Linked DNA regions of Arabidopsis thaliana. The protein of the gene in region 3 interacts with the protein of the main gene of each other region in a pairwise test. Each region holds a gene or a part of one and is shown on either strand. Other genes may lie near its edges.

What was found.
Region 1: the proteins of AT3G29270 (region 3) and AT1G35430 interact in a two-hybrid assay, tested with the Arabidopsis thaliana proteins (one large-scale study listed by BioGRID).
Region 2: the proteins of AT3G29270 (region 3) and AT3G54120 interact in a two-hybrid assay, tested with the Arabidopsis thaliana proteins (one large-scale study listed by BioGRID).
Region 4: the proteins of AT3G29270 (region 3) and ATGP4 interact in a two-hybrid assay, tested with the Arabidopsis thaliana proteins (one large-scale study listed by BioGRID).

Annotation. Positions count from the first base shown.
Region 1 is NC_003070.9:13,030,023-13,033,144, forward strand, and holds AT1G35430 (uncharacterized protein), read right to left. Parts: upstream 1,354-3,122; 5' UTR 1,010-1,353; coding exon 638-1,009; 3' UTR 531-637; downstream 1-530. Other genes in the region: AT1G35435 (Putative membrane lipoprotein), read right to left, coding at 2,784-2,959.
Region 2 is NC_003074.8:20,040,569-20,043,966, forward strand, and holds AT3G54120 (Reticulon family protein), read right to left. Parts: upstream 1,773-3,398; 5' UTR 1,566-1,772; coding exon 1,496-1,565; intron 1,394-1,495; coding exon 1,213-1,393; intron 1,149-1,212; coding exon 937-1,148; intron 850-936; coding exon 701-849; 3' UTR 558-700; downstream 1-557. Other genes in the region: PUMP1 (plant uncoupling mitochondrial protein 1), read left to right, coding at 32-109, 193-279, 384-428; AT3G54130 (Josephin family protein), read right to left, coding at 2,327-2,914.
Region 3 is NC_003074.8:11,232,355-11,236,991, reverse strand, and holds AT3G29270 (RING/U-box superfamily protein), read right to left. Parts: upstream 2,820-4,637; 5' UTR 2,652-2,819; exon of another isoform or gene 1,755-2,651; 5' UTR 1,667-1,754; coding exon 875-1,666; 3' UTR 534-874; downstream 1-533. Other genes in the region: AT3G29280 (uncharacterized protein), read left to right, coding at 1-128, 220-287.
Region 4 is NC_003075.7:12,849,143-12,853,509, forward strand, and holds ATGP4 (Ubiquitin family protein), read right to left. Parts: upstream 2,669-4,367; 5' UTR 2,304-2,668; exon of another isoform or gene 2,208-2,303; 5' UTR 2,108-2,207; coding exon 1,978-2,107; intron 1,726-1,977; coding exon 1,555-1,725; intron 887-1,554; coding exon 831-886; 3' UTR 509-830; downstream 1-508. Other genes in the region: AMY1 (alpha-amylase-like protein), read right to left, coding at 2,967-3,218, 3,291-3,656, 3,881-4,311. UniProt on the Arabidopsis thaliana protein: May serve as docking site to facilitate the association of other proteins to the plasma membrane.

The DNA.
Region 1 (3,122 bases), on a different chromosome or scaffold from region 3:
TATGATTTGTCTTGTGGGAACACACTCGGTTCACACAAAACAAAGGTGGCCCTTGATCTGACCCAACACAAGAACTCGTATCCAACATTTTTTTACCAAATTCTCTCAAAAAACAAAAATAAAAAGCATTATTGGAAAAATATACTCTTGACAATAATGGAAAGTAAAATAACCTGGCCCCTTAATTAATGGCGGAGATGATGATAAATTAAAATTGATGGTAATGAATTTCTTTTATCATTAGTAATGATTTTTTTTTTTAATCCAAAATTAATTAGAACTCTTAATTAGAGTTCATAAGAGTCATTCCTGAAAAATGTTGTTTACATAAGTGATATGATGCGGTTGGACACGAACTTTATGTGCCAAATTATCCGTTTTGACATTTGCACTATTCGTAATAATTTTTGATATATATAAATTATATAATTATGATGTGAATTTTTGTGTGTTTTTTTGTTGAAATATTTATTTTTTGGTGTATTTGTTGAAAAAAAAAAAAAAAAAACTGAATCAAGAGAAACGAAAATGGTAGAAAATTTTCAATTAATCGGATTTGAAAAGTATATAGTAAAACTGACATTTTTGTTTATCTACATAAAAAGATCAAAATCTAAAGGAATCGAAAAAAGGAAATTTACGAAAGAAGAGGAACTCTAATAATTTGATCGGAATCTTGATCTTGATCTTGATCTTCTTCACCACAATCATAAACAGATCTAACCAAAACCAACTGATCTTCCAAGTATCTCTGAAGCAAACCAGCTTCTTCCGGTTCATCAAACCCGCCGCAACCACATCCTTCTTCACATCTCCGGAGCCTCAAATCATCTTCCTCGGCGGTGGATTTAGCAAACCAAGGATGACGACTACGGAGACGACTAAAGATCTCGACGGCGCAGAGGATTGGGATTGAGGCACAGAGGATTGGGATTAGTAATGGAGAACAGAGGAGAAAGAAAACGAAACGGCTCCGTCGTGTACGAAGCCAAAAGACGTCGGTCAACATAATGGTGACGACGGCGCGTGAAGAGTCATGGCTGGAGTAAATGGGGAGGAGAGGAGGTCGTGGGTTGTACGACACGACTTTGGTAAATGAGTGGGATCATGGAGAAGCTTCTTTGGCACATGACTTTGTTCTTTTTATTTGACTTTTTTATATACTTGTGTTTGGTTTTTGTCATGTGACTGTTTTTTACTTATTTACAAAATTTGATAAATCTGTTTGTTATATGAGCAAGACCAGTTTGGAGGAAAGTTATTATGAAATACAAAGAGTCGGAAAGTACAAGAACATTTCTGAAGACAGATAAGCTAACGAGTACAAAAACATTCCTGGAGACAAGATTAAAGAAGGTAAACAAAGGAGAAAAAACTCGAGCAAACAAACTACATAATATCTATCAATATTTCCCGAATCGGAATTTAGAAACTCAAAAAATATTTACAAAACTAAAACTAAAATTTAAAACAAATCTGAGACATACAAAACACACAAACAAATTACAATACAAAAAATCTCTTTTACCATAAGTTAGAACTGAATGAAAGTAGTCACGTGCGACCTTCATTGTAAAACTCCGGAGAAGAGCCATGGAGACGGTGGGACACATCCAAAACCTAGAGATTCAAATATCGTTTCTTATCTAGTTTTGTGCTGATTAGACTTATCTATTTTGGAGAAAAAAAATGTTATAACCCGAATTGGATTTTCTCTTTGAGAAAGTGTTAATAGATCGTGTTTGGATCAACCGTTTGATTGCGGTTAACGATTGTAAAATGCGATTATCAATTTCAAACGGAAGTTGAGAAGCTTAATTGATTTTAGTGATTTAGGTGGAATTATATACATTGGGAGAAAAATGGAATAGGGCATAGGCTGAAAGTATGGGAAATCCTAGTGGAAAAGCTAAATTACAGGGGGCCTCCTACAGCCCAAAAACATTAATCGGTATAAGTTTGATCATCGATCCAAAAAGGAAATCATTTTTGGACTATTGACCAAAAACAATATTATTTTGGAATTAATTATAAATTTAGAAATTAAAAAGGAAGATTATGAAAACTATCATATCTTTGAGTTTTCATTTGAAAACTACATTTTCTTTGTGTTTAATAAAACTTAATTTTTAATATCTAAATGACAGTTTTGTCCATATTTAAAATAAAAGTTGTTTACTTAATAAATTAAAACAATATTTAGAAAGAAAAAAAATCGTAATCTTAATTATTTTTTCAACTATTTTTGAGATAAAAACAGTTTATTTATTTTCTATATTAAAATTTAATTAGATAATATCTAAAAATATTTTAAAGTCTCTCACTTAAGATATTTTCAAGTGTTTGAAACACAATTTTGAATTTTCAATAGACAGGATCTTAGATTATTTTTTAATTTATTTTTCTTTTGTTTTAGGACGAAATTTTGTTTAAATATTTAAAATAGGAACGGTTATCTTTAAAAATGTAAAATATATTAAATATTAATTTAAAATTTAAAATTTATGGAAATTTTCAGTTTTAAGTTTAAATTCATTTTAATTATTATGAAATATTAATGAGGCAATTTTAGTAATTTTATATACTTAAATTTAGTTTTTAAAAGAGGAAAAAGGATAGGGTATTATTCAAATGAAAACTCAAAAAATAGGGCATTTTTGTTACAAGAAAATATTATTTTCTGCAAACATTATATAAAATTCTGTATTGTTGACATATCTTAAAACAATGATTCATTTCTATATAAATAAAATATAAATATTCAACCAAAATCATAATTATTTTTAGTAATTTGTGGTACAACAACAAAAATATTCGTAATCATCATAATCGAACATGCATAAACCAAGAGTTTCATGTGAGAACTCAGGCGGTCCACATCGACTCCTACATTCGTAGCTATCTCGGCACCGACCTCTGTAAACACACTCGCTAGGTCCAACTTGCATTCTTTTCACTACTATTAATCGCCAAAACAAATCAATAATAATCATTAGTTACTATATTTTTTCCAAGAAATTATGTATTAAATATCGTCTACGAATTTGAAAAGAGAGACATGTATAGCAAAAGTTTAGGTGAAAAGAGAGAAAAATTTGACATAACAACAACAACAAAAACTG
Region 2 (3,398 bases), 8.8 Mb from region 3:
GATTGTCTACTTAAATCTTGTTGTGTGGCAGGTTAAGTCAAGAATGATGGGAGATTCTGGTGCTTACAAGGGCACCATTGACTGCTTCGTCAAAACTCTGAAGAGCGACGTAAGCAACTCTGCTTCTGATACCTCCATTGTTCTAGATATAACCCAGAAAATGTTACAAACTCTTTACGGTTTCCTCTACAGGGTCCTATGGCATTTTACAAGGGTTTCATCCCCAACTTTGGACGCCTTGGCTCATGGAACGTAATCATGTTTTTGACCCTCGAACAGGTAACAACTGATAGAATTTTTATTTTATCGCAATCGCATTCGAATCGGTCACGCAAAGTCTTCTTTCTCATTTTCTAATCCGGGTTCTTAATACTCTAATCCAGGCAAAGAAGTATGTCCGGGAACTCGATGCGTCCAAAAGAAACTGAGACACATAGTTTTAAGCAGAGGGAATAAGAGCAACATTGTTTTCTTCTTCATTTTCGGTGATTGAGAGAGGCCAGAACTTGGTCGAATATTGTTTTCGGAATAGAGATTCAGTTTTCGAGTAAAACTGTGAAATAAAATTTCTGTGGATTGCTCATATATTGGCTGTACCATCCAACATTTATCAAAAATCATACATTTTTCTCCTTTCTTTCCACAAAACCGAGAAAAATCAGAAAAAGAAACTCCTGAAGAAGAAAGAGGTGACAGCATCTCAGCTCAGTTTCTTATTTTCCGGATTAGCCCATATCTCGAGTCTAAGGTAAAGCTCTCTAGTTTTGTTGCAGATAAACTCAATAGAGCCAACAATGTAATCCTCATATCTCTCATAGAAAGCTGGAACCGTCATAACCACCAAAACGCCTGCCAAATTAACCAAGAACAACCACAAAATGAATATCCAGCTCAAAAGCATTCCAAGTCTATAGGAGTTTTAGAATATCTACTTACTGGTGTGGCAAAGTGTCTGAAAATCCATGAGACTTCCGATCAATGAGAGAAGAAACAGTGACACTGCTACTTTGGTATACAACTCTGAGTCTCTTGCCATTGCAATGTCATGCGAAACTTGGAGTAGCTTGTTCACATGAATACGTAACCATATCGAAGCTTCTTCCGCCATCGCTTCACTTATTTGAAACTCCGGTAACGGCGGTGATGGCCTGAAGAGCCAAGAAATTGAATCAGAAATGAAGTAATATTAGTTACAAGTGAATATTAATATACCTGTTGAGAATGGAAGCAGATTTGGACCAGAGGAAGAGAATAGAGAGCAAGAGAAGAAGAACACTTGAAATAAGAGTAAAGATAGTGTAAGCAAATGCCTCAAACACCATCCATGAAGCTATTGTCACTGTAACTATACCAACACTCACATTCTTCTTCCTCCACAGCATCACATCTGCAACTGCAGATTCATTTCATAACAAGAAAAAAAAAAGGCTATAGAGGTGAGAGATCACCTAGCTTTTATAAGTTTTGGATTTGGTAAAGAAATGTATTCACTAACCAATGCCTCCTCCCAGAATCTCATGTATTGTCCTGTCTCTGTTGAACAACTTGTCCGAAGAAGAACTCATTTGAGAAGAAAGATCAGAGCAAACTTGGATTCAGATTTCCTCAGATGATCAGATCCCAAAAGTAACCCAGATATGTATATCTTTCTCTGAATGTCAGAAACAGATCATTATGTGAAAGGAAATCCTAAAGGCTCGAATCGAAGGAACCTGATGTATCACAAAGAAAGTAAAAATAAAAAGTGAAGAAGAGACTAAAGTTGGGTCATCACCATCATCATCAAAGCCATCAACTTTGAATATACAAATAATTAATTAATAATTCAAAGGCTATGCTCTGTTTAGGGAAAAAGAAGGTGTTTGTTGTCCTCTCGATGTTTTTATTTCCAGCCTAAAAGTGTTATCCTTCTTGTTTTTTTCAAACTGTAAAAGTTCGCCAGATTGTACTTAGAGATGAATCAAATTTTACACCATCCTTTTATATTTTCCATAGAACACATTTAAATTGGTCATTCATCTACTTTTAGTCAACTGAAGTAATTTATGTACCCTTTTCAGATGTAGTTTCCTATGAATTCGAAAAGGTCGAATCTTTATCCTCAATTTAAGATTGTCAGAAGAATTTAATATGGTAAAAAAATCAAACAAAAACAATTCCACAAACCATTTATTATCCTCTGTTTTCTATCTTTCGATGTAAGCTTTTTTCTTTCTCTGTTCTGTATGTAAAATTGTTGATAACTCTTGATAACAAACCAAAACAAAGAAACAAAAGTGAATATCCCACCACCTCCATCAATAACACTTGTTCTCTATTTTCTCTGCTACTTTTGTTTCTCAGTTTCCTTTTCAGAAGTGCCCACAGCTCCGAGATTGGCCTCAGCAGCAGAAGCATCAAGCAAACTTGCTGCAATTGCTGCCTTCAAGTCATCATCTTCCATCTCTGAAAAAGCCTGCACTTCCTCACGTGACAATGCCTGATTCCGTCTTTGTTGATTAACATTGTCATTACTTCTCTTGTTTCTGGCAGAAGAACCTGAGCTCGTGTTCTTTCTTATTCTCTCTGCGTCTTCAGGAGAAAGCCACTGCCCGAAACTATTGGAAGCTTCAGAAGAAGACGACATGGGACATTCCTGAGGGAAGTTTCCTTTCACTATGAAGATACTCCATCCTGCGCCTTTGAGAGAGTCTAAGAACGCAGAAAGGTAGAACTTCGATAAATGTTGCGGGGCAGCAAGGAGACTATCAAAGTTATACCATTCGCCATTCACTTTCCTTATACAAAACCAATGGTCATGCAAGTGGCAGATAAAGGCGCTTTCAAGCTCAGGGTCTATCTGCGCAGGCTCTGCATCTGGACAATTGAGTGGAATTACTTGTAGATCCCACACTTCCAAAGCTTTTTGCAAGACCTGTCAATCAAACAGAAGCATTCTCAGTTAAACGAATAAGCAAAGACTAGATCAACTTTGCAAGATTAAAATGCTACACCAATCGCATAAACCCTCTGTTTGCAGTGTTTTATCCGCATCCAACTTCAACGTAATCCGTTAAAATAGCTTTAATTTTAGATATCTAAAAATGTGATGTAAAACACCATACTATACCCTTGAATCTCAATACATAAATCTTGCAATCAAACCTGACTTTTGTAGCAACCTAATCAAATATCAAGTTATCAACCAACTCGGTTTAAAGCTATCCAAGAAACAAAAGATGATAATTGAATATACAGAACCTCACTAATAACTAACATATCCAAAACAATTGAGTCCCAAGATAAAAAAAATCATCTCAAGTTCCTCCATTTATCAGCATAGCAATGTTCGCACAATGAAACTAGCCTTCAACAAATGAGTTTTAACCCAAAGTAAAGATCGCAAATTCACACCATTA
Region 3 (4,637 bases):
AGTCGAAGAAAAACACGGGAAGAAGAAAGTATCGGTTTCGTTCGAGTGTGAGACATTGAAGGCAGATGAAGCAGCAGAGGACCATATCAGACAGTTTATGCCCAAATTAGCTGGACTTGATGCTGTTAGTAAGTAAAACCAACACTTTATTCTTGTGCCATTCTCATTACATTTATGTTGTCTTGTTTTGTTGAATCAACACACCGGGGTTTTTGCCAGTTAACATTGGACCGATGAAGATTTCCGGGCTTGATTTTGCTGCGGTGGAAGAGGGACACATAAACTAAGACAGCTTAACTCTTTCTTTTTGTGTATACATCATATTTGAATGCTCTTTGAGTCTTTGTTTCATATCGTAGAACACAATTAACGCTTTAAGCTCAAATGATCTAGACTAGAACTCATAGAAAACATAAAAGAGAAATAACCGAACCGAAACCAAACCGAAAAGCCGTACACCCACCCCTAATTTTGGGTGTCATCTTTTGCTTTCTTCTATGGAAATGGGTGGAACAAACAAACAAAAGAAAAAAAAACCCATACAATTTAGTCATTATATATAAGAAAAATCAATGCATTTAGTTACGCAATTCCTAAATAACATTGCATAAACTTTATATACATAAATCTTATTGAGACACTCAAACACTCACAAACAAATCCACAAATACTAATAAGTTTCTGCAAGAGCCCTTACAACACATACGTCCAGCTTCGTAGAGCAACAATGCAATCCAAAACTACATCCATATATAGATAAAGAAGACGGTAATTACGAAATTGTTATACTTACATGACCGATCTTGGGTCTCAGTTGTTGAAGAAAAGTCGTCAAATTAGGAATGGGAAGTTTCTGAACGCATCCTTAGAAAGTTCATGTGACAATCTCTCGAACAAGCCAGTCGAGACAAGGATAAGCGAAGTAGAGGATGAGAAACGACGGTAGAGCCAGCAAGAGAGTGACTAGAATGTACATCGCCAATATGGCTGCACTGGTCGGTATTGCATAGAGTATTATCAGCAGAAATATGACAACTAATGGGAACTTTGCTGTCAACTGGACAAAGAAAACCAGAGACTTCCTCAGTGAAGTTTGTATGTTGTCCCTTGGAATGCGATGATCATTAACAGAACGTGATGGTTCAGGTTGACTGCGATGATGGCGATTGTGGAGACATGGAGATGGAGTTTCCCTTGTATGATCATTGTTTCCATCTGTTTGAGCTCCACCAGGTGAGTTACGTCTCTCTCCATTCATCCTCTCGACCATCCAAAGCACAAAGTAGTTCTTGTGAGGGAATCTGAGTGTTCCTCTGAAGACCAGACGGAAAGACAAAAGGTTGCACCAGGGGCATGAAATGAAGAGAGGAAGCTGAACCGGGTGAGTAGGCAATTTCACAATAGCCCATTGAAGTCCCAAAATGCAGTTTTTACACATCGTATGTCCACACCATAACACATACGGAACGTTTTCAACTATATTAAATGATTCCCAGCATATAGGACACTCGAGACCTTCGTCTTTACTACCTACAGAAGATACATCGTCATCTGAACACTCCGCATGAGCATGGACCGGTCTTCTGATATCGTTTTTCGGTCCAATGTTTCCCGTAAGATAACTCGATGCTAGATTCCACATTCTAGTATCAGGGATGGATAACATGAATACCTTGTTTGTCACTAAGACCTAACCAGTTCTGCTAATACTTAACTCTCTGACCTTCATGAACACCGAACTCGATGCTTCATCGCTTCATAAGCAAAGAGAAAACACATATTAATCCTTCAAAGACAATCCCAACGACACACCGATGCAATTCCAACTAAGAATCAACTAATAAGATTAAGTGCTACATTGAGCAACCATGGTAACACAAATCATTAAGAACCTACTATACAGCAAGATTCAATTTTTATGATCAGAATCGATATTCGAACGCTTTAACTTGTATTAGAGCTCAAAGCTCGACAATTTCATCGATAAAGGGGACTCTTTTATCTTTGAGCCAAGTTTACTCACCGATGCAATTCTAACTAAGAATCAACTAAGATTAAGTGCTACATTGAGCAACCATGGCAACACAAATGATTAAGCAACTACTATATAGCAAGATTCAATTTTTATGATCAGAATCGATTATTCGAACGCTTTAACTTGTATTAGAGCTCAAAGCTCGATCATTTCAGCGATAAAGGGGACTCTTTTATCTTTGAGCTAAATTTACTCACAGATGCAATTCTATATCAGTAGCAACCAACTAATAAGACCAAGATTTAGTGATACATTAAGCAACCATAGCAACACAAATGATTAAGAAAACCCTAAATAGAAAGTTTCAATTTTTATACTCAGAATCGAAATCAGACTCTCAGACTTGTATTAGACCTAAAGCTCAATCATTTTCAGCAATAAAGATGATTCCTTTATCTCAAAGGTTATGACTTTATCCGATACAGAAGATCCCAATATAAGATTAAAGGAAGAAAGAGAAAACCCTAAAATCAAAATCACTAAATGAGATAATTGATCACAGAATTAAGCAGCTAACGAAGTAATCGAACCTAGATAGATAATTGAAAGGACAGAGCAATCAAATGGTTCACAATAACCGAAACTAAATCAGAGTGATTTAGATAAAGATTCGTACCGATTCGACTCTGCTCTGAGCTTTTTGTTTCGTACGTGAAAGAAGAAGATGCTTGATTCGATTTTTCCGGCGAGACCTAAACTTTCTGGGTTTTGTTTTGCTTTCATAAACGACGTCGTTTCAATCGTGTACCCAAGTTTTCCTTCCAAAAGTGTTTTTGATATTTTCTAACGTAAAAACTTGGTTAGTTGTTTTTTTATAAACATAATAACATTACCAACCAAAACATTTACGCTTATTGAAGATTAAGTAAACCTCTGAAAAAATAAAACACAGAGCGGTTAATTTTATTAATATAATTTAATAGAATTTTGTATTATAAGTTATTTATCAATTCAATTTTTTTAATATTTTAAAAAGAATAATAATAAATATATTAAAAAGAAGAAATATGAGAAAAAGAACAATCACGAAAGAAAAATAATAATAAAAGAAACTTTACGTTGTTTTTTTTTTATCTATATGAGTGTATATAGATAAAATGCAAATGGACTTAATATGTAAATATTTCTTTAATTTTTGCAACATTCTTCTCGTCCAGAGTTCATTTGTCATTTATCTCTTTGCGATATCTTTCATGTTGTCTCGTTAAAACTTTTCTAATAAAATCCATTGGTAGAAACCACAGTAAGGTAAAAAAGTATAATCATACAAGCTCTCCCTCGAATGACTATGGACATGGGGTGCAGGATGTTCGACATTTTTTCTTGTTACCATGTAATAATCATTGAATGCTTGAGACGTAAATTCACCAACGTTATCTAATCTAACTCCTTTGATTGGATAATCAGGAAACTCAGCTCTTAGTTTTGATTATCTGAGTTAGAAATCTCGCAAATACCACATTTCAAGATGATAACAAACAAACATGTGACCATCTACTAGACATGTCTATCATTACCATGAAATAATATAATGGTATACATGGTGGGTGTATAGGTTCACAAATGTCGCATTTGACTCGTTCAAGGAATTTTGGTAATTCTTTATCGATTTTGCTTGTCGATGGCCTTATAATCAATTTTCCAAGAGAAAACGTAACACATGTCCTTTTATTTTCTTGATAAAACTCTTAGGGTTTCATTGAATGTCCATGTGAGCTTTTTATAATTTTTTGCATCATCGTGGTGCCTGGGTGACCAAGGCGATCGTGCCACAATGTGAAATCATCATGATCTCTTTTGATAACAAGATGTGATCCTATTGAATTAATGTATGTATGATGCAATCCTGATGGGAGTCTTGGTAATTTTTCCAAAACGTGTCTTTTTCCCAATTTTTCAGAAGTGATATACATGTACTTTTTTTCATTCTCACTTGCACACTGAGTGTCATATCCATGAAGGTATATATCTTTGAAACTCAACAAATTTCTTTTTGAATTTGGTAAAAATAATGCATTATTTATCGAGAACTTTGTCCCGTTAAGTAATGCAAAATTTGTTTTACCGGTCCATTCAATTAAGTCTATGGGACCTGATATTGTGTTAACAATAACTTTTGTTGATTTCAAATGAGAGAATTTTTTTTTTTGTTTTAGAATAGTGTGTGTTGTTCCACTATTCGGTATGCAAATATCTCTAAGGTTTGCCTTGGATACCATTCCATTTGTAATGTGATCCATTTCTGAAATAAACATAATCGATTAAGGTAAGTAGAAAATAAATTTATTAATCAAGCATATAACACCCGATAATTATACATGATAGGTAACACAAGCACACAATAATTACACATGATAGGTAATACAAACACACAAACTTAGGAAATTTCAAGCAAGCGTCGATTTATTTATGACATATTAATTCGAGCCCCACACGATAGAAATTTCAGTTTTCCACAAGGACAACCTCATCGAGATCATTAGCAAAGTCAGAAGCATCAAGGTGGGTTGTACCCTCAGAATGTTCCGCAAGGTTCACTTCCTTTCCTTTTCCCTTAACAGATTTTTTGTACAGAGCACAAAGGTGTGCTGGAGTTCGGCAT
Region 4 (4,367 bases), on a different chromosome or scaffold from region 3:
AATCTTTTTAGCGCCACGCATAAAGCTTGGCTCCCTTTTTTGGTTTTTTTTCTCCTCGTTTTAAATGTTAAAACTAGGTTGTTTTACTTGTGTTTTGATATTTTTAACTATTGTTTGTAGTACATGTGTTTGATTCAATTTAGTTTCATATTGCCATCTTTCTGCAATTCTTTTTTTTTTTAATGTAGATAAGTACATACCATTGTTATGACTTTTTTTAGTTTATGTTGGTATTTATAAGTAGCTAGGTTATGACTTGTGTCATATATCATGTGTTATTACATCATGCCTCTGTTCGAGACTACGTCGCCTTCATCCATCACTACTCTTCCTGTCTGTCTGATCGGAACCGCAACTCCATCCTCTTACCTTTTCCCAACCTAAAACAAAAAGAGATGAATTTTCTGTTCGAAGTGATGTTCAGAGTTCATGAATTCATTAATTACATTTACGGGCCAGCCAGAATTTGGCCATTTCGCAAATTCACCTATACTAAAACGGTGTGAAAGGAAGAACGAAAAATACAAAGGCACAATCTTTTTTAAAAATAGATAGATATATAATTATCTTCATCACACGTAACGTAATGGACCTAGTAACCTATACAGCTTCCATACATTGGGAAAGTAAGAAGAAAAAACAAATAAGGGACAAAGAGTTACTTGAAAAGAATTTATAGTTCATTTTCTACACATTCAAAGATGATAAATAACTCCACAGCTTAAAGGGAAGCTTTACTTTACTTTTAGCTTTCTTTTTTTGATTTTGTTTTCTTCTGTACCGGAAGAATTGAAACGATGTGTATGATAGATACATTGGTCTTCCTCCCTTCACAAAATGGTGCATGTGCAGATTACTGCCTTTGGTGCTTTATCAACCTTCTTCTCTGTTTAATCAAAAACCAGTATTCAACTGTTAGTTAGCTTTCATCAACAAACGTCTTAGTAATCACAAACTCACTTTCCACGACTTTCTCAAGTTTGTGAAAAAACAAATTATGCAGACAAATCTCAAAGACTGGCAAAAGTTTTCAGTGGGGTTTACAAGGAGATGACGACCAATAATGAATTCAGGTATTCCTTTCCTCATGGCATGCTTTGCTAAGCTTAGAGCTGATTTTTGCTTTATTTCACACAAAGAACACACCAGAAACCTAGGAATGAATTCTAGGGTATCCTTTACTCTCTCTCAAGACAAACAAACCAAATTTAGACAAAACCACTAATCACCTGATAGGTTGATTGAGTCAGTACCATAGGCTGTTAGAAAGAAAAAGAATGTACTGATCTTAGTCACCGACTAACTTTCTGATGTGCATGAACACTCTTACGAAATCTTACCAGCCTCAATTAATATAAGTATGACTAGAGCTAGATATTATAAGACGTAAAGTTGAGCCAGATAAATGAATACCATAATCCATACAGTTGACAAGATAAATACCACAAGACTAATGAAAGATTGAGGAACCTCTAAGGACACATATATCTCCATGAAACGGGAATTCTCTGATATAAAAGACATGAAGAACATTACACATAGACAAACAACTACCTGTTTTGGATTTAGCTAGAGAAGGCTGTACAACAACATGCATCACAATGACTCCACCAGCAATATCTCCAAATGGTGTCTTACACTGCCCAACAGTCTTGTTGTTCTCCAAGATCTTACCCGAGCTTATCAGCTTCACTTCGTTTATCCCCTTTGGAACAACTGTTTTGCCTAACCAAAACCACAAAAAAATTGATGCTTGGATCAACCTCAAATCACAGAGACTTGGCTTTTCTCATACATCAAGCTTATAACATCTCAAATGAGCTAATAATAATTCATCTACAGCTCTAAATTTCGAATTTCTACCGACAATTGCAGGATTCAGTGACAATCAACACGAAATTCGTGGGAAGATCATGAATAAAACCAGGATCAGATTGGGGAAAAAGGGGCACCGATTCAAAAAACCTTAAAACTAACCTTTGGGCCAATCAGAGACGACCCTCTGCTTCAAAAAGTCAACAGTAGAAGCCGCAGAATACCGAAAAGGCCCGATATCGGAGCCATCGTACAACCTGAATTTGATATCTATCGATTCTTCCTCCGGCATATCCGTTGACTTCTCTCTGACCTCCGATTACCAACCAAATTCCAGCTCCGATCACCAATCCCGCTTCTCAAACACAACTATTTCAGATCTGAAAATAGGTCTGAAAAAAAGTAGACAGGAACGAGAATCAGAGCTCGCTTCGAAACGGGATAGAACAAAAAAACAAAAAACAAAAAAGAGGAAGAATCAAACACACAGAATCGAAGCTTCCTCCGAAATCGTGTTTCGGATCTTTGATTTTGAGGTGTGAAAAAAGCGAAAGAAGGAAGAAGAAAGAGCTTGCTTTTTTCAAGAGTCACCAAATATCAAAGTTCCTTCTCAAGCCGACGGTTTTCACTTTTTTCCTTCCTTTTTTTTTTCCCCTTTCTTTTCGTCGTCACTTCTACTTCTTCTCAAGCCGACGTCTTCAACTTTTATTGTCCTAGCCAAAAACGCTGTCGTTTTATTCGAATTTACCTGTCTAACTGTTCCCACTTCCCACCATACTTTTTTTTTCTTCTTCTACAATAATATAATTCGTTCTGATTTTGGCAGTATTGTGTGGTTAAGACATCATAATTCTGATTTTAGTAGGGCTCCAAATCTTATACGAGTCGGCCAATATATAATATATTAGTTGTATGCAACAAAACAAAACGATGGAAACTTTCCAATACTTATTTCTACAAGTTGACACTTCTTCACTTGAACTCTTTTCTTTCACTGGAGTTGTATCCTTTAACACCACTAGTGCTCTTTTTATTTAGGTATTCTTTATCATTTTATATTTCATTATACATATCTTTAGATACTGCCAAAATGTTTTATTAAAAAGGAAGAAGATACATTCGATTACTTTTCTTATGATTCGAGTTATGCGTTACTTCTTCTCCCAGACAGCAAAGTCAAGGCCTGAATAAGCTAAAGCAAAATTAGAAGGAACAAGTGTTCCCACATCTTGCTTTGGTCCAATCTTCATGATAACTTTATCATCAATCATAGCCAAGTAGAGATCCGCCTCTGCCGCTTTTATCGTTACAGAGCTTGTGCTACCAATCCCATTTTTGTTCCTGATAGCCACCAGCTTTGAGATGCTCTCTTTTAGTCCCCATTCTATGTAATGATTATAAAACTGCAACAAAAATAACATATCAACAAGATTGTAGTTGTAAATAGTATAGCTACATACTAAAATGATACTTACAATGCAAGGAGTTCCTGGATGAGTAAGTATATAAACGTATCCAAGCAAGACTTTATCAGAAGGGAAAACCCACGTTCTGAATGTATCATGGTTATCTATGAATGTGACAGCGTTTCCGGGCATGATTCCTATCATACCAGGCGGTTTTCCCTGCGAGTCCTTTAGTCTCCAAAGCTCACCTTTGACAGCAGACTGTAAGATCCCTTTGGTGGTGAAATCAAAAGCTGTCAACACACCACCACCCGCTTCCTCGATCCACTGTTTGAGACCCGACCGATGCTCGTTCTGATCATAGTCTAGTTTCCCGTCTCCTCCGTACTTCATATCGTCCCATTTCTCACCCACCGCAAAATCCGGTGATGTATTCTGTGTATCCAAAAACAGAGGAATTTATCACATAATCAGTAGTGAACTTTCTTATATATTTCTTATTGATTGCATTGACTTATGTTTCTTATATACTAAATAGTAGTAAATAACCCTATCAACCTATGATACTTATATATACTAATAGTAAATAATTATCTCAACCTATGTTTCTTATATACTAATACTGTTGTCTGATATTTGAGAATTCATATGTGATTTACCTGAACGTATAATTTGGTGATGGAAGATGCATAACCTCGAACATAATCAAATCTCCAACCATGGAATCCGATTTCAGTTTTAAGCCAATTCATCCATTCGGACAACTCTTTCTGAACTCTAGGGTTAAGGTGGTCGATGTCGGGCGCTCCATCAAAATCTCCTCCGGTGTCGAGGTTTCCGGTACCGGGAAATTTAGGGTCATTGCGGCAGACAAAGGAAGGATCCCAATCAAGACGATCATCGGAAGTCCCACCTTCGAAATAACAGTATCCACATTTATCGTCTTTCCTCTCAGCTGTTCTGTGGTTAATCACTATATCAGCCAAAGCTTTTATTCCTTTTTGATTCAACGCTTTGATTAACGATTTCAGTTCCGCCTCTGAACCGTATTTGGAGCTGTTTAGATCGTATAGCTTTCCCGGTAAGTAACCTGAGGAATGAAGATTGCGTGAGTAACAAGATTGGTATGTGAATGTGTAAAGAGTA